Linked DNA regions of Oryctolagus cuniculus. The protein of the gene in region 2 interacts with the protein of the main gene of each other region in a biochemical or structural test. Links are inferred from orthologs where the notes say so. Each region holds a gene or a part of one and is shown on either strand. Other genes may lie near its edges. The genes, in order: ATM, MDC1, RNF8, TOPBP1, CDC27 and H2AX.

What was found.
Region 1: the proteins of MDC1 (region 2) and ATM form a complex in vitro, tested with the Homo sapiens proteins (2 studies listed by BioGRID, with this or other methods). The link is inferred for Oryctolagus cuniculus from reciprocal best matches to the Homo sapiens genes MDC1 and ATM.
Region 3: the proteins of MDC1 (region 2) and RNF8 form a complex in vitro, tested with the Homo sapiens proteins (2 studies listed by BioGRID and IntAct, with this or other methods). The link is inferred for Oryctolagus cuniculus from reciprocal best matches to the Homo sapiens genes MDC1 and RNF8.
Region 4: the proteins of MDC1 (region 2) and TOPBP1 are reported together in a solved structure, tested with the Homo sapiens proteins (3 studies listed by BioGRID, with this or other methods). The link is inferred for Oryctolagus cuniculus from reciprocal best matches to the Homo sapiens genes MDC1 and TOPBP1.
Region 5: the proteins of MDC1 (region 2) and CDC27 form a complex in vitro, tested with the Homo sapiens proteins (2 studies listed by BioGRID). The link is inferred for Oryctolagus cuniculus from reciprocal best matches to the Homo sapiens genes MDC1 and CDC27.
Region 6: the proteins of MDC1 (region 2) and H2AX form a complex in vitro, tested with the Homo sapiens proteins (5 studies listed by BioGRID and IntAct, with this or other methods). The link is inferred for Oryctolagus cuniculus from reciprocal best matches to the Homo sapiens genes MDC1 and H2AX.

Annotation. Positions count from the first base shown.
Region 1 is NC_091432.1:99,975,940-99,979,874, forward strand, and holds the start of ATM (serine-protein kinase ATM), read left to right. Parts: upstream 1-1,135; 5' UTR 1,136-1,867; intron 1,868-3,935. Other genes in the region: protein NPAT, read right to left, coding at 747-783.
Region 2 is NC_091436.1:139,721,555-139,725,665, forward strand, and holds the start of MDC1 (mediator of DNA damage checkpoint protein 1), read left to right. Parts: upstream 1-1,311; 5' UTR 1,312-1,976; exon of another isoform or gene 1,977-2,302; intron 2,303-2,665; exon of another isoform or gene 2,666-2,824; intron 2,825-4,111. UniProt on the Homo sapiens protein: Histone reader protein required for checkpoint-mediated cell cycle arrest in response to DNA damage within both the S phase and G2/M phases of the cell cycle.
Region 3 is NC_091436.1:132,255,198-132,258,697, forward strand, and holds part of RNF8 (E3 ubiquitin-protein ligase RNF8), read right to left. Parts: intron 3,445-3,500; coding exon 3,337-3,444; intron 92-3,336; coding exon 1-91. UniProt on the Homo sapiens protein: E3 ubiquitin-protein ligase that plays a key role in DNA damage signaling via 2 distinct roles: by mediating the 'Lys-63'-linked ubiquitination of histones H2A and H2AX and promoting the recruitment of DNA repair proteins at double-strand breaks (DSBs) sites, and by catalyzing 'Lys-48'-linked ubiquitination to remove target proteins from DNA damage sites.
Region 4 is NC_091435.1:175,279,051-175,282,550, forward strand, and holds part of TOPBP1 (DNA topoisomerase 2-binding protein 1), read right to left. Parts: coding exon 3,302-3,500; intron 799-3,301; coding exon 632-798; intron 423-631; coding exon 311-422; intron 1-310. UniProt on the Homo sapiens protein: Scaffold protein that acts as a key protein-protein adapter in DNA replication and DNA repair. Composed of multiple BRCT domains, which specifically recognize and bind phosphorylated proteins, bringing proteins together into functional combinations.
Region 5 is NC_091448.1:16,968,662-16,972,161, forward strand, and holds part of CDC27 (cell division cycle protein 27 homolog), read left to right. Parts: intron 1-567; coding exon 568-665; intron 666-1,499; coding exon 1,500-1,654; intron 1,655-1,758; coding exon 1,759-1,970; intron 1,971-2,868; coding exon 2,869-2,983; intron 2,984-3,500. UniProt on the Homo sapiens protein: Component of the anaphase promoting complex/cyclosome (APC/C), a cell cycle-regulated E3 ubiquitin ligase that controls progression through mitosis and the G1 phase of the cell cycle.
Region 6 is NC_091432.1:111,204,324-111,207,080, forward strand, and holds H2AX (histone H2AX), read left to right. Parts: upstream 1-1,202; 5' UTR 1,203-1,290; coding exon 1,291-1,722; 3' UTR 1,723-2,257; downstream 2,258-2,757. Other genes in the region: DPAGT1 (UDP-N-acetylglucosamine--dolichyl-phosphate N-acetylglucosaminephosphotransferase), read left to right, coding at 1-21, 105-170; HMBS (porphobilinogen deaminase), read right to left, coding at 2,751-2,757. UniProt on the Homo sapiens protein: Variant histone H2A which replaces conventional H2A in a subset of nucleosomes. Nucleosomes wrap and compact DNA into chromatin, limiting DNA accessibility to the cellular machineries which require DNA as a template.

The DNA.
Region 1 (3,935 bases), on a different chromosome or scaffold from region 2:
TACAATCTTCTTTATTCTTTGAAGGGACAAACAATAACAAAAAAACCGTCTCCCACACAGACAATACACCCTGACAGACAAGTGGCACAAATGGAGGAAAAGCTAACTAGGGCGAGAAAACGTTCAGCTGGAAGGCACTTCCCTTCCGTAACTGTTCGCTCATCAAAGCAATAGGAATTGCAGCTGCTTTCAAATTTGCAATTGGCATTTCAACCCTCTACACGGGAGGACGTCCTGCCGGGAGGATGGAGGAGGAGGACCACCCCCACTCGTCCCAAATCCGGAGTTCTAAGGGTTATGAGAAAGACGTCACGAAGGTCTTTCTACAAAGCTGGGTGGCCGGGAAGTCCTTATTTGTCCTATTTTGGTCTCAGCTCTGACAAGGGAAAGTACGCGCAAGGTTGAAGACGACGAAGTCCGCCCCGTCACGTAGACAACTCTCTTTCAGGGGTCCCAGTGAAGTGTGCAGGCCTGACTTTCCCTCCGAATCCGGGCCTCAGGTGTTGCCCTCCGAGCTTCTCTCCGGCTCTCCCCTAGACAAACAGCCCGAGCAGGAGAGCATCCACACACAACGAGGCGTACGCGACCAGGGCCAGCGAGCGACGGAAAATCACAGCCAGTCCGAACTTGCAAGCGGGGAAGCAAAACCCCAAGGCTGCCCCACCAAGAGAAAGGCTTTAGCTCCGAAGCGCCTTCCCTCCTTCTCTGCCTGGCCCAGTAACCCTCCCGCCAGCGTCCGCGCTTACCCAATACTAGCCGGGCAACGTCCGAGGGTAACAGCATGATCGACGCCGCAGAACGAACCACAATAAGAGACGAGACGCAGGTACAGAGAAACACAGCGACAGCTCCTACGCCGCATCTCCCGGTTCCAGTGGCGGCACTGAACCCGCGGCAATTTGTCCCGCCTCTTTCGCTCCACGGCAGCCAATGGCTTCCGCCAGAGAAAGAAAGGCGCCGAAATGAAACCCGCCTCCGTTCTCCTTGGAACTGCCGTCACTTCCGCCCTCAGAGTTGGAGGGGTGGGGCCGGAGAGCGTGAAGGGGCGGGGTGCGAGCGCCGGAGCAGCAGCCAGAGGGCGGGCGACTGACACAGAGTCGCTAGCCATTGGTGGGCAGCGCGCAGGCGCGTTTCCGCAGACGAGCAGAATGTTTTGGGGGTGCGCAGTGTTGGGCGACGGAAAGCGCGTGATACTTGTGCGCATGAGCAGAGTGTGCTCTGTGGCCTGTTAGCGCTTTCTTCCGAGAGGACGCTGCGAGTTCACGCGGCGTTTGAACCGGAAGCGGGGAAAGCTGCGGGGATAACGGAGTGTGGAAGCTGTGGCAACCGGAGGTGGCGAGAGGAGCTGGGGGATCCGTGCTGCAAGCCGCCGCCGGCACTGCCTGGGCCGTCAGAGTCTAGCGGTAGGGGTGCGGAGCCACGCAGTGACTTGTGTATTTACAGAACTGAGTCGTATTGGACCCAGTCTGTCCTTTTCCCCCGACTCCTAATCCCACGCGCTCTTTCAGAGCGGCCCGTGAGCGCTCTCTCCCTCGTTATTCTCGCTGCTGCTGCGGCTACTCACCGCACTCCCTCCGAGCCCCCTGCGGCGTTATCCTTGAACTTCCTTTTAAGTCTTCTGAATTGAGTTCTCCTTTCTCCGCGTCTGCTTCTCCCGTGCCCTTAGGGTTCAGATTCAACTAGGCGATTGGAGTAGTTACCTTTTTTTTTTTTTTTTAACCTCGTGTCATAATTGGTACTTTTAGTTAGCGAGCATTTAGTGAGATTTTAACTATAGCCTCGTGGTTAAGAATGTAGGTTCTGGAATCACAGTACCGAGTTCGAATTCTGCCAGCTGTTTGACATCTTCCTTGGAAAATTACGTGAGGTAATCCTTCCCTGTGGTGAGCCCTGCAGAGCTGTTTTCCCAGGTGCAGATAATTAACTACACTGCAAGGTGGATAATGTTCTAGAAGAGCAGTTACAGGTCCTGTGGAAACTCGGCCTGGAAGAAACACTTTAGTTTGCCGGGAGCCCTTGCAGTATCTAAACTGCCTTAGGGGATAGTAGGAACTTTCCAAACAGAAAGAAACTTACCTGTAAAAGGCACATGGTAGAAGGTTCTTGAAGATCAGGGGTGAGATCTAGTATTGAAAGAAATAGGTTCGGGGAGTTTTCAGTATGTTTAGGTCACAGGAATGAATGAGACCAAGGAGATAAGGATGCTGCTTGAAGTGGGAAGGGAAGAAATATCGAAAGAGACTTATGGAGCAATCATAAAGGAAGGGAATTCATTCTGATAACTGTTAACGTGGTGACTGGCTGTGTTCCAGGTGCTTTGCTAAACATGCACCTGCATGCTTACAACAAGTTTTTGGGGTAGATGCTAGTATTGTTTTTATCATTAAGGTTTGGACACATGAGCTAACTTGCTCTGGCTGGATTAATACACATTGACTACAGAGCCAAGAATTGCATGCCAAGGACAAAGTTATTTCTAGGAGGATGGAATGGGCATCATTGTCAACGTTCTGCAAAGGGATTAAGCTGGTTAATAACAACGAATATTGAATGCGCCGGTGCAGAGCCTGTTATTTAGGAAATTTGTGTTGTTTCTGTGGAATATGAATGAATCGTAGGTAGTCTGGATTAATGTATAAGTGGGGTTTGTCTTTATCTGGTGATACTTTTACTCTGACTGGCTCGTCTCCACCTCCTCCAACCTAACATACTCTTTTCCATCTTAGTGCCCTGGCGTTGTGCAAGATTACTTCCCTCAAATGTCAGTTCTTCAGCTCTTTATATGATTGGCACTGGTTTATTCAGATCTTGACTTTCTTTTTATACCTTCCTTTGAGATGTTTCCTTATAATTTATCTAAAATGGTCCTCTCTACTGGTTTTTTCTATTATTGTTTAAGTATTAGTTTCTTTCTATTATTGTTTAAGTATTGCTTTCTTTGAGGCAAAGATGAAAGCAAGTATTCTAAGATGTCCTAAATTTAATTACACAGCTAGAGAGTGGAGAGGAGAGAGAAGTTAGTCAGCTACCAGTTTTGGCCAATCAAAACAAAAAAAAACTGCTCGATGTCCTGAATGCATGTTGAAATTTTAACTCCAAGGCCATCAAGGCAATCCCAACTGATTAGGAATAGCTAAATACTTAGAGACTGCCTTCCTGCCTTTTAGTTGTACTGCCACTCTTCTCTATATAGGCTCATTATAAACAGTTTATACTTTCTTTTTCCCAAACTTTGAGTATAAAATATTTTGGTTTTTTAGATCCAGCAAAAAAACCTTTCAGACAGCTCTCTGCTGGTGGTTACAGGAGCTTCTAGACCACTCCTTTTTTCTGGCTAGTTTCTGTAATTGCTCCCAAAACCCTTTTATTTCAGAGTATTCTTCGTATTCTTCAGGTTTTTTTTTTTTTTTTTTTTTTTTTTTTAATTTGAAAGAGTTACAGAGAGAGAGAGAGGTCTTCTATCTGCTGGTTCACTCCCCAGATGGTCACAACGGCCGGAGCAGCACCCATCCAAAGCCAGGAGCCTCTTCTGGGTCTCCCACGTTGGGTACAGGGGCCCAAGGACCTGGGCCATCTTCTACTGCTATCCCAGGCCATAGCAGAGAGCTGGTTCGGAAGAGGAGCAGCTGGGATTAGAACCTGTGCCCATATGGGATGCCAGTGCTTCAGGCCAGGGCTTTAACCTACTGCCCCAAAGCGCCGGCCCCTAATATCCTTCAGTTTTAAGAATTTGGTTTTTAACAGTATACATCACATTTTGGAATTATGCATTGATTTATCAGTTTGTTTATTTTCTACCTCTAGGTAGAATTTCATGAAAGCAGGATTTATATGTTTCATTGATTTGTCTAGCTGTCCCTGATATAGTACCTTGAGCACAGTAGTACATAGTAAATATTGTTTGTATCAATGAATGAATATCTTCTGTTTATTTA
Region 2 (4,111 bases):
GGGGTGGGTACCGGCCGCGTCTGCGTGTGTTTGCAATAGAGCAGGACTGTGTCTGCGGTTCTTTCCCTCTGTGCCTGAGTTCTTTTGTGCAGAAAGGGGGCTGTTCTCGGGGATGCAGGGGTTGGGGAGTCCTGGGTGCCGGGGGCTGGGAGGTGAGGAGGGCACGCCCAGAAAGCTCCCTGTAGTAGCAGCTGTCTGAAGACAGGACTGCTAAGCTCAGCGAAAACCAGGGAGCGGTGCAGCACTCTGGCCCTTGGGTGACCCAAAGCCTGAACCCGCATAAGCCGCTGCCCCCTCGGATTGCCTTCCTGATATCTCCCTGGGAGTCTGGGACTGAGAAAGTTGCGACAGAGAAACAAAACTGTAGCGAGGGTCTTTTGGGATGTAGCTATTGTTCAAGGAGTAAGTTGCAGCGTTTAGAGGAAGTGCTGAGATTTGCAGCCTCCGTTATGGGGATGTGGGCCTTGGAAAACAGCTTGATTTTCTTGTGAAAACGGGGAACTAGGGAGTCTGAAGCTTCATAGGATTTCGGTCTTTCCAGACGGCCTGTCCAGATTGATGAAATCGGTGCGTTTCAGTTTCACTGACTAGGCGGGCGGTGGCCATTGCAGAGGGGGAGGGGTGACTGAAAGAGTGGAAAATGGAATGGGCTTCCACGGGGTCCACCTGCTTCCCAAGGACTCACTCATTTGGTAGGTACTACCTATCCACCAACCCAGGAGCAAGAGATACAAAAATGATTAAGAATCCGTTCCCTGGCCTCCAGGACCTTGCAGTTCGATGAGAAATGCGGTAAGCACCAGTCTAGAGAGGTGTGGTCCCAGTCAAGGTCATTGTTAATCCACATTCCATCAGCATCAGCGCACATTTCTAAATCACCTTCCAAATGAAGGAGCGTTAAGTGAGTGTAGGACCCTTGTACTCCATTAAAATATCTTATGTTTTCGGGCATGCTCACAACGAAAGCAGCTTTTCTGCAGTAAAGAGCTCAGATTTAGAACTGGAGGACTTGTTTCCATTTGTCTCTGCATTAGGAACCCAGCGAGTCATTTAACTTCGCAGAGCTGCAGAGATAAAATCTACTTCTGTTTGGTTCTCGTGGCCCGAGCTGAGATAACAAACGGGAAAGAGCTACCTAAAGTAGATCCCTATCAAATTATTTCCTGGTCTCTTCATGTCTCGTTATAATGAAATAAATTACTTTCCATCCTTGCCTTGCCCCTTGAAAAGTGAGGCCAACCTTTTAAAACGGTTAGCAAAACAGTTTCCTCTCTTAGGCTTTGGATTTTTATTTTAGGATCTTCCGTTTAGGAAAATGTCCTCAAAATGTCCGTCGGGGATGTATTCTCAGGAGGAAATGACACGACTTCTACTAAACAAGCGAAATCAAAAGGCAATGAAATTCCACTGCAGTGAGGAGCCTCAAGTGCCACGCCTACGGGCTGTCCTCCAAACTGCAGCCTGGAGCCACGACTGCAATCCGCAACCCATTTGTTTCTCCTGAGTCAGCGGACACCATGTCTGGGAGGACCGGAAAAGGGCGCTCTGGCCGGACCAGACGCGGCCGACGACTGTAGTACAGAGACGCTCTATCCGCCGCCAGAAACTGGCGCCAGACTCTCTGGTCGCGGTTTGGAAGTCTGCGCGGGAAGTGGGCGGTGGGCCATGAAACGGCAGTGGGCGGTCCCTTGGAGCTGGCCAATCAGAATGCGCTATTTCGCGCGGCCTCCGATTACTCTTCCTCAACTGAGCACTGTCTCCCGGGAGATGCTTTCCTTTTGAACTGTGGGGGGACGGTTGGGGGAGGGGATTCGAATGTGCCGCCGCTCTGTGGGCGTCATCAAATCAACGTGCAGGACGGTCGTGAAGGACAGCGACAACAGCCAATCAGCGAGCCGGGTCCCTTCCGGCGCACGCATTCGCACCGCCCCGGTCGCGACCGTTACGGGTGGCGCGCGCGCGCGTACTCCAAGTAGGTGAGTTCTGAGGGCCTCGCCCACATCTTCGCGGGTACCATCTTGATTCCGACGGAGGGCGGGAGGGGCGTGCCCTGGGTGCGACTGGGCGGAGGTAATTCGAAAGTTTGTGGGACTGTAAATGCCCACCCTCACCTGACGCCTCTCCTCGCCCCGGGAGGCGTTGGATCCCGACGGAGCCCCACTGGGCGGGGATCAAAGATGGTGGTCCTTTGATTCCAAGGCGAGGAACGCGGGCGCCCGCTGGGCTGGCCCGTCTTAAGGCCGAAGTGAACCTTTTCGCCTCGGGGGCGTCCTCCTTTCCCTAGCTGCCCGTTTCCCTCTTTGTAAGTGAACTCCATCCTTATTTCTTCCTTTCATTCTGCCCCTAGCAGGCTCAGTGAGGCAGCCCTGCGAGGGCAGGGTGCATGTAGGGTTTGCCTCACGGATGTGGCCCCCGTTCTTTGATCAGCCCTAGGCGCGCCGTCACCACCGTAGAACGACCGTGATGGGCACCGGGGGGAAAGGGAGAGTTCCGGGGGGAGGGGCGGCGGAGTGTGAGAGTGGTGGTTACAGGGTAGGCGCAAGGCCGTCGGCCACCAGGGTCACCGGAAACTAGGAAGGACTTTAATGAGGGGAGGACATTTGAACAGAGGACGGCGATTACTGTTACTATCGATTTGAAAGTCGGGGCTGTGCCGGGCCCACACCAGGAGCCTGGAACTCAATCCCAAGCCTCCCACGTGGGCGGCCGTTGCCCGCTGCCTCTCAGGGTACCCGCTAGCAGGAAGCTGACACTGGAAGCGGAGTTGCGCTCGGATGTGAGATGCCAGCGTCTTCAGCGCTGCGCCTGAACTAAAGCCCCCAGGGTGGGCAGGAGTCGATCAGGAAACCAGGAGGGAAGGGCCTTGGGCATCAGCTGTGGGGCCGAGGGGAGTGTGTTTATAGAGGCTTGGTTGGACCGCATGCGGGTCAGCGGAGTGAGGGTGGGGGCTTGCAGTGCCCAACAAAAGGCTTAAGTGGGGTGGAGGAGGTTTGCTGAGGAGTTTAGGTTTTATTTTACCCTGGGAAAACCATCAGAAAATATTAAAAAGAGAGATCTGAGTGACTCTGAGCAAGTTCCTTCACCCATATATGTTGTTTTAGCTAAAAGAAAAAGATAATAATAATGCCTCTTTACAGGGTTCTTGTGGAGACTAAGTGAGGCAGTCAGTGTAAGAAACCGGAATCCTCTCTATGTCGACTATTAGGAGTTTTTGTAATTTAGTCTGATCACGCCGAGGTGCTCTGGCAAAGTGTAAAAAGTACGGGCAGTACAACCAAAAGAACATTTCTTCTTACCTGTCTACTTAACCTGCTGTGTTATCCGGAGCAAATTATCTCATATTTTCAGCGTTAGTTTCCTAAATGTCTACCTCTGTCGTCTACTGTGCGTGACACATAATGCCCAGCACAGACTTGGCGTGTATGAGCAGTGGGCTGCAGCCCAGTTGTGGATAGTGAAGTTCATTTAATAGGTTGTAAATGTTCATTTAAAAAGTATAAGGAGAGGTGCTGACATTGTGGTACACAGGGTTAGCCACAGCCTACAATGCTGACATACCATATTACTGTGGCTGCTCTGCTACCAATCCAGCTCCCTGCTAGTGTGCCTGGGAAAGCAAAAGAAGATGGCCCAAGTGCTTGGGCCCCTGCCACCTGCATGGAGTTCCTGGCTTCTGGCTTTAGCTGAGTCCAGCCCCCTCCATTGTGACCATCTCTGTTGCTCCCTCCTTCTTTGTTTCTTCTGTCTTTCAAATACAATAAATTTAAAAATATAGAGAATAGGAAAAACAGAAATAAGAATTTTAGTGTATTATCGTAGCATTGTTTCTCAAAAAATATATAAATAAACATGTTTGTATATATTTGTGTAATGAGGACCTTGTAATATTTATCTTTCTTTGTGTCATGGTCAAAAATATATACTTTTTAAATATTTGTTTATTTGAGAGGCAGAGTTACAGAGGAAAAGGTCTTCTATCTGTTGGTTCACTCCCCAAATGTCTGCAACAGCCAAAGCTGGGCCAGGCAGAAGCCAGGAGCCAGGAGCATCTTCCAGGTCTCCCACGTGGGTACAGGGGCCCAAGCACTTGGGCCATTTTCCACTCTTTTCC
Region 3 (3,500 bases), about 7.5 Mb from region 2:
CCTTGCGACAAATGGGGCATTCTATCTTCCTCTTCATCCATTCTTTGATACAGTAGGAGCAGAAACTATGGGCACAGTTCAAGGTGACAGCCTACAGTGGGAACAGGAACACACATCACAACTTTCACACTTACTTTCTTGGCAGTTCATTCTCAAAGCTAGGACAGGAGCTATTTTCCAAGGCCAACCAAAAAGATAACTACACTTCTATGTGGATTGTAGTATCAGAATCATTCTTGGGCTGGGAAATTTTAGGTTTCATGTTAGACAATCCGTGCTGTACCTTCTCAAAGTTAAGGTTACAGACTCAGGTCCTGGATAGGCTGATTTGTCTGCTTTGTTCCCCTAAGTCAACCACACTGCCAATGTGGGTCAACCATCCTGAGAGTGACAAATGCCACTGGACACAGCAGGATGAGTAAGTGTATGAACATACAAATGTAAAACTAATTCTCTTATTAAAAACAAACTAATTCTATAATTAAAAACAAACAGCTACTGCTACTTGTGAGTTACAACCTCAATTTTAGTATACCAAGTGTAAGTGAATACTGACCACTTAATGTATAGAATGGTAGGAGGTAACATCTTTAAAGAAGCCAAAATGTGAAATACATAATGGGTTCACTGACAGTGCCTGAACTTATAGGCAAACACATCCACAAAGAGAGACCGCAGGACAAAGCCTGTGATTCAGGGCTTCTCTGAGCACTCCCTCTGGTCAGATTTTTTTTTCACTCCCAAGAGTATAAACCATTCTCTCTCTCTTTTTTAAAGATGTGTTTATTTATTTGAAAGGCAGAGGGGCAGAGAGAGGGATAGACAGAGAGAGAGAGAGGTCTTCCATTCACTGTTTATTCCTCAAATGGCCCCAACAGCCAGGTCTGGGCTAGGCCAAAGCCAGGAGCCTGAACTTCATCCTGGTCTCCCACATGGTTTCAGGGGCCCACGTATCTGGGCCATCTCCTGCTGCCTTCTCAGGCTCATTAAGTAGAAGCTGAGCCGGAAGCAGAGCAGTGGGGACCCAAACCAGCACTCCAGTATGGGACACTGGCATTGCAAGCAGCAGCATAACCTGTGGTGCTACCATGTTAGCCCCTTCCTTGTCACTCTTGTTCATACATATATATATATATATATGTTATATATATAATATAGATACACATATGTATGGATGTATGTATCTTCTAAGATACAACTTTTTCTGAAGTTTAAAAATCCTCATTTCTGCTTTTAAGATAAGCAGTGGAAAATAACATCTAAGTTATACATTTTTCAATAGCAAGCTGAACTCACAAAATCAGAAAACTAGAATATATTTTTCATTATGAAGTGTTATGAAGTTCATGAAGTAAACCCTCATAAACAAGATTAAAAATGCTAAAAATGCTTTTTTTTAATTTTTTTTTTTTTTTTTTTTTTTTTTTTTGGACAGGCAGAGTGGACAGTGAGAGAGACAGACAGAGAGAAAGGTCTTTTTTTTCCATTGGTTCACCCTCCAATGGCCGCTGCGGCCGGCACACCGCGCTGATCTGAAGCCAGGAGCCAGGTGCTTTTCCCGGTTTCCCATGTGGGTGCAGGGCCCACGGACTTGGGCCATTCTCCACTGCACTCCCGGGCCACAGCAGAGAGCTGGACTGGAAGAGGAGCAACCAGGACAGAATCCGGTACCCTGACCGGGACTAGAACCCGGGGTGCCAGTGCTGCAGGTGGAGGATTAGCCTATTGAGCCGCAGCACCAGCCAAAATGCTTTGTTAAAATGAAACATCTAAGACTGACTTTAAGCGGTTGCTAGCAGAATAGGTCAGTACTCCGTGACAAAACATAGGTCAAAGCGTTTGTCTCTTTCATGTCTATGCAAATACTCTGAGCTGGCTAACTTATCACCCATTCCAACGTCCCTTTCCTTGTCTTTCTTTACCAGAGACCATAAGCCCTGTCAAAACAACACTGAGTTTCTCCAAAGTAGGGAATCATCTAGCTAAAAACTATGCAGGAAATTATGACCAGAAGTCAAAATGAATCCAGAAAAAAAAAAAGAAAAAACAGGTTGCCCAGGAGAGAGAGGTTTTTTCAGGAGGCTAACAGACTCAGCCTCCTTAAAGACTGCTTGAGAAAAGGATGCAGTGTGTATGTGTGTTTGCCTTTGTTAATCAGTCGGAAAAGCACTGTCGTCTAACAACCTGAGTTTAACACTTGTGGTCTAAGCTGTACTGGTCACAAATGGGAGGACCTCTGAAAAATACAAGAGCTGGTGCTTGTATTTATCTTGTACAGGGGCCAGCACTGTGGTGTAGCAGATAAAGCCACAGCTTGTGATGCCGGCATCCCATATGGGTACCGGTTCAAGACCCGGCTGATCCACTTCCTATTCAGCTCCTTGTTAGTGCAGTTGGGAAAGTGCTTGAGGCCCTGCACTCATGTGGCAGATTCAAAATAAGCTCCTGACTCCTGGCTTTCGCCTGACCCAGCCCCAGCCACTGTAGCCATTTGGGGAGTGAATCAGTGGATGTAAAATCTGTTTAAAAAAAAAAAAAAGAAAGATGACAGGACAATAAATGGGAGCCTCGGGGAGAGGTATTTCATTTCACAAGGAGCCTGAAGGTCCTGAAATATATTCTACGTGGCTTTTGAATTCTGAATTCCCAAAATGACCACACATCAATGGCACTGACCATTCTGCTTTGAAAGGCTGCATGGCAGAAGCAGGTATTTAGTTTAGCAGTTAAGATGCCAGATCTCACATCTGAGTTTGATTCCTGATTCTGGCTCCCGATTCCAGTTTCCTAACACAGACCCTGGTAGGCAGCAGTGAAGGCTCAAGTAATGGAGCTCCTGCCATTATGTGGAGACCTGAACTGCAATTCTGGCTCCTGACTCTAGTCTCCTGCTAACTCATACCCTGAGAGACAGTGGTGATGAAGCAAGTGAATGGGTTCCTGCCATCCATGTTCTGAGGCCTGTCACTGTGGGTATGTGGAGAGAGAACCAATGGATGGGAGCTTTCTTCACCTGTTTCTCAAATAAATTTAATTTTAAAAACTACACTACAAGCCTACTCTTAGCTTTGTGTCCATTCAGAGTAAAGAGAGAGAAGTATTTCCGGGCTGCTTCATTCTGATACTTCGGCTATGTGATCTGGTTTCCCCCATCCTAACAACAAAGAGAGAAAGGCTTTATTGCAGCTAAAAATGTTAACCATACCAAACAAATAGTTATAAATTCCTAGAAGAAAAATCTCTTCAGAGTGTTTCTTTGGCAGAAGCAGCATGCATGGTCCAGGTTCCGTTCCGTGCTGGGAGAGTGAGAAGGGGTGCGCCACTGGTCATAATTACCTCAATGAAGTATTCTGAGCAAATAATACATTGGAGTTCATTTTCTAGCACGTCATTCATCTGACTAAGAACTTCCTCCTTCTGTGCTTGTACCTTCTCCTTCTCTTCCTGTGAAAACACACACAACCCTGTCTGTCATCTGGGAGAACCAAAAGGAGCACAAA
Region 4 (3,500 bases), on a different chromosome or scaffold from region 2:
GACATTTTTTAAAAGCTTAAAGGAGCACTCCTACCTGGTGCCTCACTCCTGAAACGCCCACTAACAGCTGTGGCTGAAGCAGGGAGCCAAGAACTCAGTCCAGGGCTCCTACCTGGGGGTCAGGGACCTAATTACCTGAGCCATCATCTGCTCTCTCCCAGGGCCTGCATTAATAGGAGGCTGAGGGAGGTTACGAGCTAGAACTGAGAACTGAACCCAAGTACTCCAATATGGGGCATTGTGTCTTAACTGGAATCTTAACTGCTAGGCTAAATGTCTGACATTTTTGATTTAAGTAAAATACTGGTACCTAATTTTTCAATCAGATGACAATAATCAATACGTTCTTGAGGATTCAGCGATGACATCTGAAATATGTACTGTTTTTTAAATTCTTCATGAGCCTCTTCTCTCATTATAATCTGGAATGAAAGAATTTTATTTTAGAAAAACATTTATATTAATCCAGTTATTTTACAGTGCAATTTTGCTGTCTTCTGAGTTATCATAAATACAAATAATAACATAATGCAAACACAGTTTTCAACATTTGATGAACCCCTGATAGTGAAATCAACACATTTCTAATTCAGTACAAAAATATCCAAAAGCCAGAGCAAGATCAACAAACCTTTTCCCTAGGGGGTGGAGCCACAGGTGGGTTGGCCAGAGGGAAGGCGATGCTGGGGGCCTGAGGTGTAGGGATCAGGTGGCTGTCTCGTACTTGGGTTTCTGGTTCTTCAGAGATAGGTTGCTTCGGAGCTTCAGTCACACATGCTTCTCCAGGATCACAGACAGCTGAGGGCAATAAAAGGTTGAAGCATGTGATTATTCACATACAAGTAGGAATAAAGTCTAGAAGATATTACCTGCCTCAGCCAACATGAAATTAAATACAAACCAAGAAATGTAAAAGTACATGCAAAAGAAGTAGACTATTTCTGGAGTTCATAAATAAATGTAATTAATTAACTTCAAAAGGATAACTATATTAAATGTGGATTTTTAAAAAAATATTTTTTCATCAGTAAATTGAAACTCAAATTGGTAAAATGAAAGCATTTCCACATTTGGAGAGAAATTGGAAGCAGAGATAAATCCTGTATCTGATGTATGGAATCATGCAATGTGAAAAAGATGAAAAAGGGGAAAAAGATTTTCTAAAAATAAAAAAGACTTATTTCTTCTTATTTATTTCAAAGGCATTTACAGAAAGTAGGAGACAGAGATCTTCCATTTGCTGGCTCAAACTCCAAATGGCTACAACAGCCAAAGCCAAGAGACAGGAGCTTATTCATGGTCTCCCATTTGGATGTAAGAGCCCTAGTCCACGGGCCATCTGCTGCTGCTTTCCCAGGCGTGTCAGCAGGGAGCCAGACCAGAAGTGGAGCAGCCAGGACTCAGTGTCAGTGTCCATATGGGACACTGATGTTGCAGGGACGGTCTAACCTGCTACAGTACAACACAGGCCCCCAACCATTCTGTTTTTTGTTTTTTTTTTTTTTAATATTTAATTATGATGTGAAAGGCAGAGTTACAGAGAGGCAGAAAGTGAGAGTGAGAGAGGGGGAGGGAGAGAAAGAGAGGAAGGGAGACAGGGATGGGGAGAGGAAGACTGAGAGGTCTTCCATCCGCTGGTTCACTTCCAAAATGGCCAGAGCTGGGCTAATCCAAAGCCAAGAGCCAGGAGCTTCTTTCAGGTCTTCCACGTGGGTGCAGGGGCCCAAGCACTTGGGCCATCTTCCACTGCTTTCCCAGGCCACAGCAGAGAGCGGGATCAGAAGTGGAGCAGGCAAGCCTCGAACCAGTGCCCATACGGGATTCCAGCACTTCAGGTGGCAGCTTTACCCAATATGCCACAGCACCCGCCCCACCATTCTGTTTTTAAGGCAAAGTTCATGAAAGAAAACACCAGGGGCTGGTGTTGTGGCATGGCCGCCACCTGTGATAACCAGCATTCCATCGGAGTGCTGGTTTGTGTCCTGACTGCTCTACTTTCCATCCAGCTCCTGGCTAACACACCTGGGAAACCAGCAGAAGATGGCCTAAGTACCGGTATCCACATGGGAGACCCAGACGAAGTTCCTGGCTTCAGCCTGGCCCAGCCCAATTGGAGGAGCCATCTTGGGAGTGAAACAGCGGAGATCTTATCTCTGTTTCCAGCCCCAAACACTTTCAAAACAAACACATAAATCTGTGAAAAAAAAAAGAAAAAAAAATGGGGAATTCAAAAAGGAACTTACACAATACAAAGAATAAATGTAGGTAAGTATTGGATGAAATTTAGAAGACTTAAATGAAAGTTAAGAAACAGGAGGAGAGGCTGGAGCTGTGTAGTAGGTAAAGCCGCTGCAGTGCCGGCATCCCGTATGGACACCAGTTCGAGTCCCAGCTGCTCCTCTTTTGATCCAGCTCTCTGCTATAGCCTGGGAAAGCAGTAGAAGATGACCCAAGTCCTTGGGCCCCTGCACCCATGTGGGAGACCCAGAAGAAGCTCCTGGCTCCTGGCTTTGGATCAGTGCAGCTCCGGCCGTTGTGGCCATTTGGGGAAGGAACCAGCGGATGGAAGACACCCCCTTCCCGGCCTTTCTCTCTCTCTGTAACACTTCCAAATAAATAAAATCTTAAAAAAACAGGAGGAAAACCCAAGCATTAACTGCACACATATAGTTAAGGACTAAAATGAAAGGAGAAGTTAAAAACCATGTTGGGAGGCCGGCGCTGCGGCTCACTAGGCTAATCCTCCGCCCTGCAGCGCCAGCACACCGGGTTCTAGTCCCGGTCGGGGCGCCGGATTCTGTCCCGGTTGCTCCTCTTCCAGGCCAGCTCTCTGCTGTGGCCAGGGAGTGCGGTGGAGGATGGCCCAAGCCCTTGGGCCCTGCACCCCATGGGAGACCAGGAGGAAGCACCTGGCTCCTGCCTTCGGATCAGTGCGGTGCGCCATTGGGGGGTGAACCAACGGCAAAGGAAGACCTTTCTCTCTCTGTCTCTCTCACTGTCTACTCTGTCAAAAAAAAAAATAATAATAAATAAATAAATTAATTAAAAAAAAAAACCATGTTGGGAAAAAATGCCTATACCTAAATTTTCAAATTCAAAGATCAACTACATTTTTCAATTTACTGATTAAGTACCAAAGTCAAAAATCATTTTTCTGACTCTTAACTTTAAGCCAAAGTCAGAAATATCTAGTAAGTTTCTCATTTGCAGGTATAATTCAAAGAATCACGACTTATCTGTTTATTTTTAGGAGGTCAAAATATACCATATACAAACAGGTAAATAGATTCTTTCTTGTTACCCTGTTCAGCAATTTCTGAAACACATAAAGGTTCCTGGAAAGGACAGTCCTCCAATGTTTTAACGTCAACCTGAAGCTCAGAGTGCTGTGTGGGACAACAAGGCCACTGCAAATTGCTGGCAAGCCTTGCTCGCTCCTCCCTGGCTGTAGGGTCATCCCAAATGATCTGTTCGTTCTGGGAGGGTTCAGTGTTCATATC
Region 5 (3,500 bases), on a different chromosome or scaffold from region 2:
CTGCTGTGACCCGGGAGTGCAGTGGAGGATGGCCCACGTCCTTGAGCCTTGCACCCCATGGGAGACCAGGAGAAGCACCTGGCTCCTGCCTTCGGATCAGCACGGTGCGCCAGCTGCAGCACACCGGCCGCTAGGGAGTGAACCAACGGAAAAGGAAGACCTTTTCTCTCTGTCTCTCTCTCTCACTGTCCACTCTGCCTGTTAAAAAACAACAACAACAACAACAACAAACTGGCAATACCAAGCGCTGAAAAGGTTGCAGAGCAACAGAACCCTAAGTACTTGGCTCTGCACCCACATGGGAGACCTGGAAGAAGCAGCTTCTGGCTTCAGATCAGCCCAGCTCTGGCCATTAACGCCATTTGGGGAGTGAACCCACAGATGGAAGATCTTGTTCTCCCGCTCTTTCTAACTCTGCCTTTCAAATAAATAAATCTTTAAAAAAAGAAGAAAAAGAAGAGTGCTCTCTGGACTTACATGATCTTTACCTAATTTTCTATACCCAAAATTTCATAATAAGTGTTTTGGGGTTTGTAGCTTTTTAAATCTGTTTGTTTCCCTCCACAGCAAGACAGATCGGCTTGCCAAAGGATCAGAATGTTACCAAAAGAGCCTTAGTTTAAATCCTTTCCTCTGGTCTCCCTTTGAATCATTATGTGAAATAGGTAAGTTTGTGGAGGCAGCAGAGGTCATGGTCCTGCATTTCTTCTCCATCCTTCTGAACTGCTCCCACCCTCCACTTAATTTTTAGAATAATACAAATCCTCTATCCACAAAAAAAATATTTTTGTGAAGTTAAAGGCTGGTAAAAATGAGAGTAAGAAGTCATTGAGAAAAATGTTTCAGGAATAATATGACCTTTCATTACTCTACCTGAAAAAGTCAGTGGTCTCTACTTTTAGCCATCTGTCTGCCTCAAATGTGGCCTATAGACTGAGTAGTATTGTGCATATAATACAAAATCACTTTCTGGGTTAAAAAAATTAATAGAATTCCCAAAGAATTTAATACCTGGAATAGAAACTATTAGATAAATAAGGCTTGGACCATCCAGGGAGAGAGAGTTTCAGTATATATGTTAGGATGCGTTAACTGCTTTAAAGCATGTATCTGTACACATGGAGGTGCTTCAGCTTGATTATTTACTGTGTCAACTCCAGCCTCACCCTTTGCCTTGAGAAAAATGAGATCTAGTTGCTTTATGTTTTTAGAACAAACTCTGAAATCTGGATTTTCCTGAGCTTTAGTACAAGTTAGAGTCCTTGCAGTTTAGTTTATTTCCTGAATTTGCAGCTTTATTTTAGGAGTAAGTTTTTGTGATAAGTTGATGGATAGGCAGATGGGAGATAACTTTGATTAGTAGAAATGGACTGGAAAATTTAAAAATTCTGGGTAAGGCTTTATTTCCAGTGATTTATATGTACTTGAAAAAAACTTTATCTTTCATTTCCTCACAGGCAACTTTTTGTTTTTTTTCTTTTTTTGGGGGGTCTTCACAGGTGAAAAGCCAGATCCTGACCAGACCTTTAAATTAACATCTTTACAGAACTTTAGCAGCTGTCTGCCCAACTCTTGCACAACACTAGTATCTAATCATAGTTTATCTCACAGACAGCCCGAGACAGTTCTTACAGAAACACCCCAGGACACAATTGTAAGTGTATCATACTTTAATGTTCAAAATATTATAAAGCTAAAAAAGAATAATCTGAACTAAATAATGTATTGTAAATGACATTGAGAAATTTTCTGTTTTAGGAATTAAACAGACTGAATTTAGAATCTTCAAATTCAAAGTACTCCTTGAATACAGATTCCTCAGTGTCTTACATTGATTCAGCTGTGATTTCACCAGATACTGTCCCTCTTGGAACAGGAACTTCTATATTATCTAAACAGGTTCAAAATAAACCAAAAACTGGTCGAAGTTTGTTAGGAGGACCAGCTGCTCTTAGCCCATTAACCCCGAGGTAAGTCAAACAAACGGTACTTTAAAATGTGGCATATTATGTGATCTTATGATTCATAGTAATATAAATTAAATAAATTTAAGCCTCCTAAATCACTGTTGAAATAGGGGGCACACCAGTTCTCAGAAAATGAAGTAAAACAAAAGATACCAGGAAAAATAAAATGTAATGTTAAATTAGGAGACATTTTAAAAGCTCTTAGATATGCCTCAATTAGCTAGTGTACACATTAAAAGATACTGTCTTTGTCTTTATATCAGTGGAAGGCAGTGAACTCCTTGAAGTACTGGCATGCTTATGACATAATCAGAGCAACATTAGTTACTGTTAAAATGCTGTGTTCCAAAACAGGCAGAAAGTATTGGTTGATACCTGTCAATATGATTTATTTTGTCAAATTTATTAAAAGTACATATATGTTTTCACATAAGAACCCAGCCTAGGGAACACATATGCAAGAATATCAAAATAAAAGGTCATGTGCTTATGGGAATAAAGTTCCCAGGCCAGGCACTTACTGAGATAACATAACCATGAATTTGTAACAATTTCTTTGTAATTGTGTCTAAATTCCATAAATAGTGGAATTCCAAGAATGTGAAGTATTTAGATCATTTGGGTCTTAGCTTTAATAAAATCATTCTTTATTTCTAATAATTCTCCTAAGACTAGTTGTTGCTATACAATATCATTCCCTGTTTGATTTCTTGTTTTATTTTAGTTATGGTGGGTGGAATAGTCTACATTCACAGTTTATTTATAATCTGCCCCTCAGATACTCACTGCCCCCAAGACTGATTTGCCATTCTCTTCCTTTTAGACCTTCTAATTTAAGTATACTGCTGCTTTATATATGCCTTGATGACTTTTTGACACCTTGATTTCAACCTCTTCTCAGTTTTGGGATTTTGCCATTAGAAACCCCAAGTCCTGGAGACGGATCCTATTTACAAAACTACACTAATACACCCTCTGTAATTGACGTGCCATCCAGTGGAGCCCCTACAAAAAAGGTATTTTCTGTGTAAAATGCAGCTTTCTTACTGATTAAAGAAACTTGCTTTAAAGTCTAATCTGTTTAAGGTTCAGAGAGAATCCAGCTTTATATAACTGCCATTGCCTTAGAATTATTTGTTTTTAAGAGGAGTAATGGGATTTTTAAAATTGTGAGCCTGGTTCTGTGGCTTAGTAGGTTGGGCCCCCTCCTGTGGCACTGGCATTCCGTATAGGAACTGGTTCAAGTCCTGGCTGCTCCACTTCTGATCCAACTCTCTGCTGATGGCCTGGGAAAGCAGTGGAAGATGACCCAAGTGCTTGGGCCCCTGAACCTGAATGGGAAACCCAGAAGAAGCTCCTGGTTCCTAGCTTCAGATTTGCCCAGCTCTGGCTCCAGCTGTTGCAGCCATTTGAGGAATGAACCAGCAGATGGAAGACCTCTCTGTCCTTCTCTGTTGTAACTCTGCCTTTCAGATAAATAAATAAATTAATAAATTAAACTTTTATTATTTGAAAGGCAGAGAGAGACAGAAA
Region 6 (2,757 bases), on a different chromosome or scaffold from region 2:
TTGCTCCTGCTGCTGCTGCAGGTGAGGTCGGGCATGGGGATGGCGTTTGTACTTCCTTGTGGCTCTTTCTCGACGGACCTCACGCCAGTCCATTTCTCTTGCAGGTCGTGGGCAGCGCTCTCACCTTCTCCATCCGATACCAGCTTGTCCGGCTCTTCTATGATGTCTGAGTGCCCTGGGTGTTGGCCCTCACCTCAGAGTCTCCAGGGGTCCTGCCCTGACCCCTGTCTGGACCAAGGCTGCTTCCCCTTCCCCTGTGATCATGGACATCCGGGGCCTTTCTTGCCCTCTGGCGAAGGCCACTGAGACTTCACCTGTGGCTCCCCACCTCAGCTGGCCGCTCTCCCGCCCTCGCATCTCTGGGCTGCAGCGGATTTTGGACGGTTACCCACAACTCGACTCTCAGGGTCCTGCAGCTCAAGGGATGTGCTGGGCCTTGGGGCAGAACCTGGGCTAGGGAAGGGACACGGGCTGGAAGGGGGCTTGACTCTCGACTCTAAATGAAGTATTCTGATTAGTAAAGGCAGACGGGGCACCCGACGCTCCCGTCAGTGACAATAAAGGGTCTTTTTTCTTGTTTCTGTACGTATATTTCCTATGGGGGCATTTTAGGAAAACAGGGAAGGGCGCGGGGAGAGGACCTCCAAGCGGAGGCCTGTGCCTGTGGCTGCTCTTTCAGACCCTTCCCAGCGAGAACACAACTGAGACCTGACAGGAAAGCTCCCGGCGGCACAGGGGGCCTTAAGGTGGGAGTGGCCTGTCTTCCGACGTGGGATCGTCCCTTTTTGCACTCTCCTTCGGCCTATTCGGAGGGGGCGGGAGTAGGGCGCCCCCAGACTTAGATGGGAAAGCTGAGGTAGCAGAATCTAGTCCTTTCCTTTAAAAACCCCAGGCCAGCACGGGGTCTGGCTCCACCCCTTTCGTCTTCCGGTTCTAGTCTCCGCCTGCCACGTTTAAATCTCGCGCGCTTTGCGCGGATTGGCCGCGTCCGGAGTGGCTGCCTGTCAGCCGGCCCGCACGCTTCCTCACCTTCTTACCCGGGCAAAAGGTTTTCAAATTCGACCAATCGGCGGGCGCGCTCCCTCAGCCGAGGCGCGTCCCCGAAGGGTTAACCTCAGCCAACCGGAGGCGGGTACTAGAAAAAAGAGCCAATCAGGAGAGCGCAGGGGGTGTGCCCTAGGGGCATATAAGGGCGGCCCCGCCGCGCGCGCGCCGGCAGTTGGACTGCGGCGGTTGGCTGTTGGGGGCTTCCGTCCGGGCGTCGCTTCGTGCCGTTCTACCTCGCGCACCATGTCCGGCCGCGGCAAGACCGGCGGCAAGGCCCGCGCCAAGGCCAAGTCGCGCTCTTCGCGCGCCGGCCTGCAGTTCCCGGTGGGCCGCGTGCACCGGCTGCTGCGGAAGGGCCACTACGCCGAGCGCGTGGGCGCCGGCGCCCCGGTGTACCTGGCGGCCGTGCTCGAGTACCTGACGGCCGAGATCCTGGAGCTGGCGGGCAACGCGGCGCGCGACAACAAGAAGACGCGCATCATCCCCCGCCACCTGCAGCTGGCCATCCGCAACGACGAGGAGCTCAACAAGCTGCTGGGCGGCGTGACGATCGCCCAGGGAGGCGTCCTGCCCAACATCCAGGCCGTGCTGCTGCCCAAGAAGACCAGCGCCACCGTGGGGCCGAAGGCGCCTTCGGGCGGCAAGAAGGCCACGCAGGCCTCGCAGGAGTACTGAGGGGCCCGCGCCGCGGCCGCCCGCCCCGCGCCACCACAAAGGCCCTTTTAAGGGCCACCACCGCTCTCACGGAAAGAGCTGAGCCACGGCCGCTGCCCCTCCCCCGCGCCGCGCACCTGCACGCGCCTCGGGCCGGGCTCGTGACTCAGCCGCCCCACGCTGCGGGGCTGCGGGGCGGCCGCGGCGCCTGCGGAAGACGGCCTGCGGGGCCGAGCGGGCAGCCCTGAAGGTGAGGCCCTCGGCGGCCGCAGCCCAGGACTGGGACACCCGTCTGCGGCTTCCAGGCCTCGGCGGGAGACGCGCTGCCCCTCTCGTCGTTGGCGGCCGCACAGCCCGGCTCCGTTCGCCCCGGCGGGGCGGGGGACTGCCCGGAGGACTGCCGGGCGGCGGCGGCGCGGCCCGCGCGCTCAGACCAGCCCCGTCCGGACGGCCTCCGGTGGCTTGATTGGGACTTTGCAGCTAACTCGTCGGAGAACCAGAGACTGGGAGTTTCGGATGGACTCATTTTGTTTATTAAAGGATTTGGTTTTTTAAATGAAGCGCTTCCGTGTACTTGCCTGAGGGGGCGGGGCGGGGGTTCAGCTAACGGGAAAGGCTGTGCCGGGACCGGGTGAGGCAGGAGCCGGGGGGCTCTAAGGTGTGTGGGGGGCTCTCCGCGGTATCCGGGGACCGTGTCGGGCAGAACTACTGCGGCAGGAACGCGGTGTTCCAGAATTCGGGGGGAAGGGTCAAAGGGGTTTGTGCCTGTTTGCGTCTCCACCGACCGCACCACGAGACAACCGGAGAGCCGCCCTCAGCTGGTTTATTCCCGGGGCTGGTTACATTCAAAGGCTGTGGCTTGCATTGTGTTCTCTAGAGATGAGGCCCCCACGCAGCAGGAGGCAAGGCCCCTAGGTGAGGCGAGTCCCCGGCGGTCAGGGACCCCGCAGTTCCTCCTGGAGTGACCACTTCCCAGTGAGAACAGGGCACTCGGCCGACGTCCTCCCCGGGGAGCGGCAGCCCAGGCAGGCACCTGTGCCCACGGCCGCTTAGTGG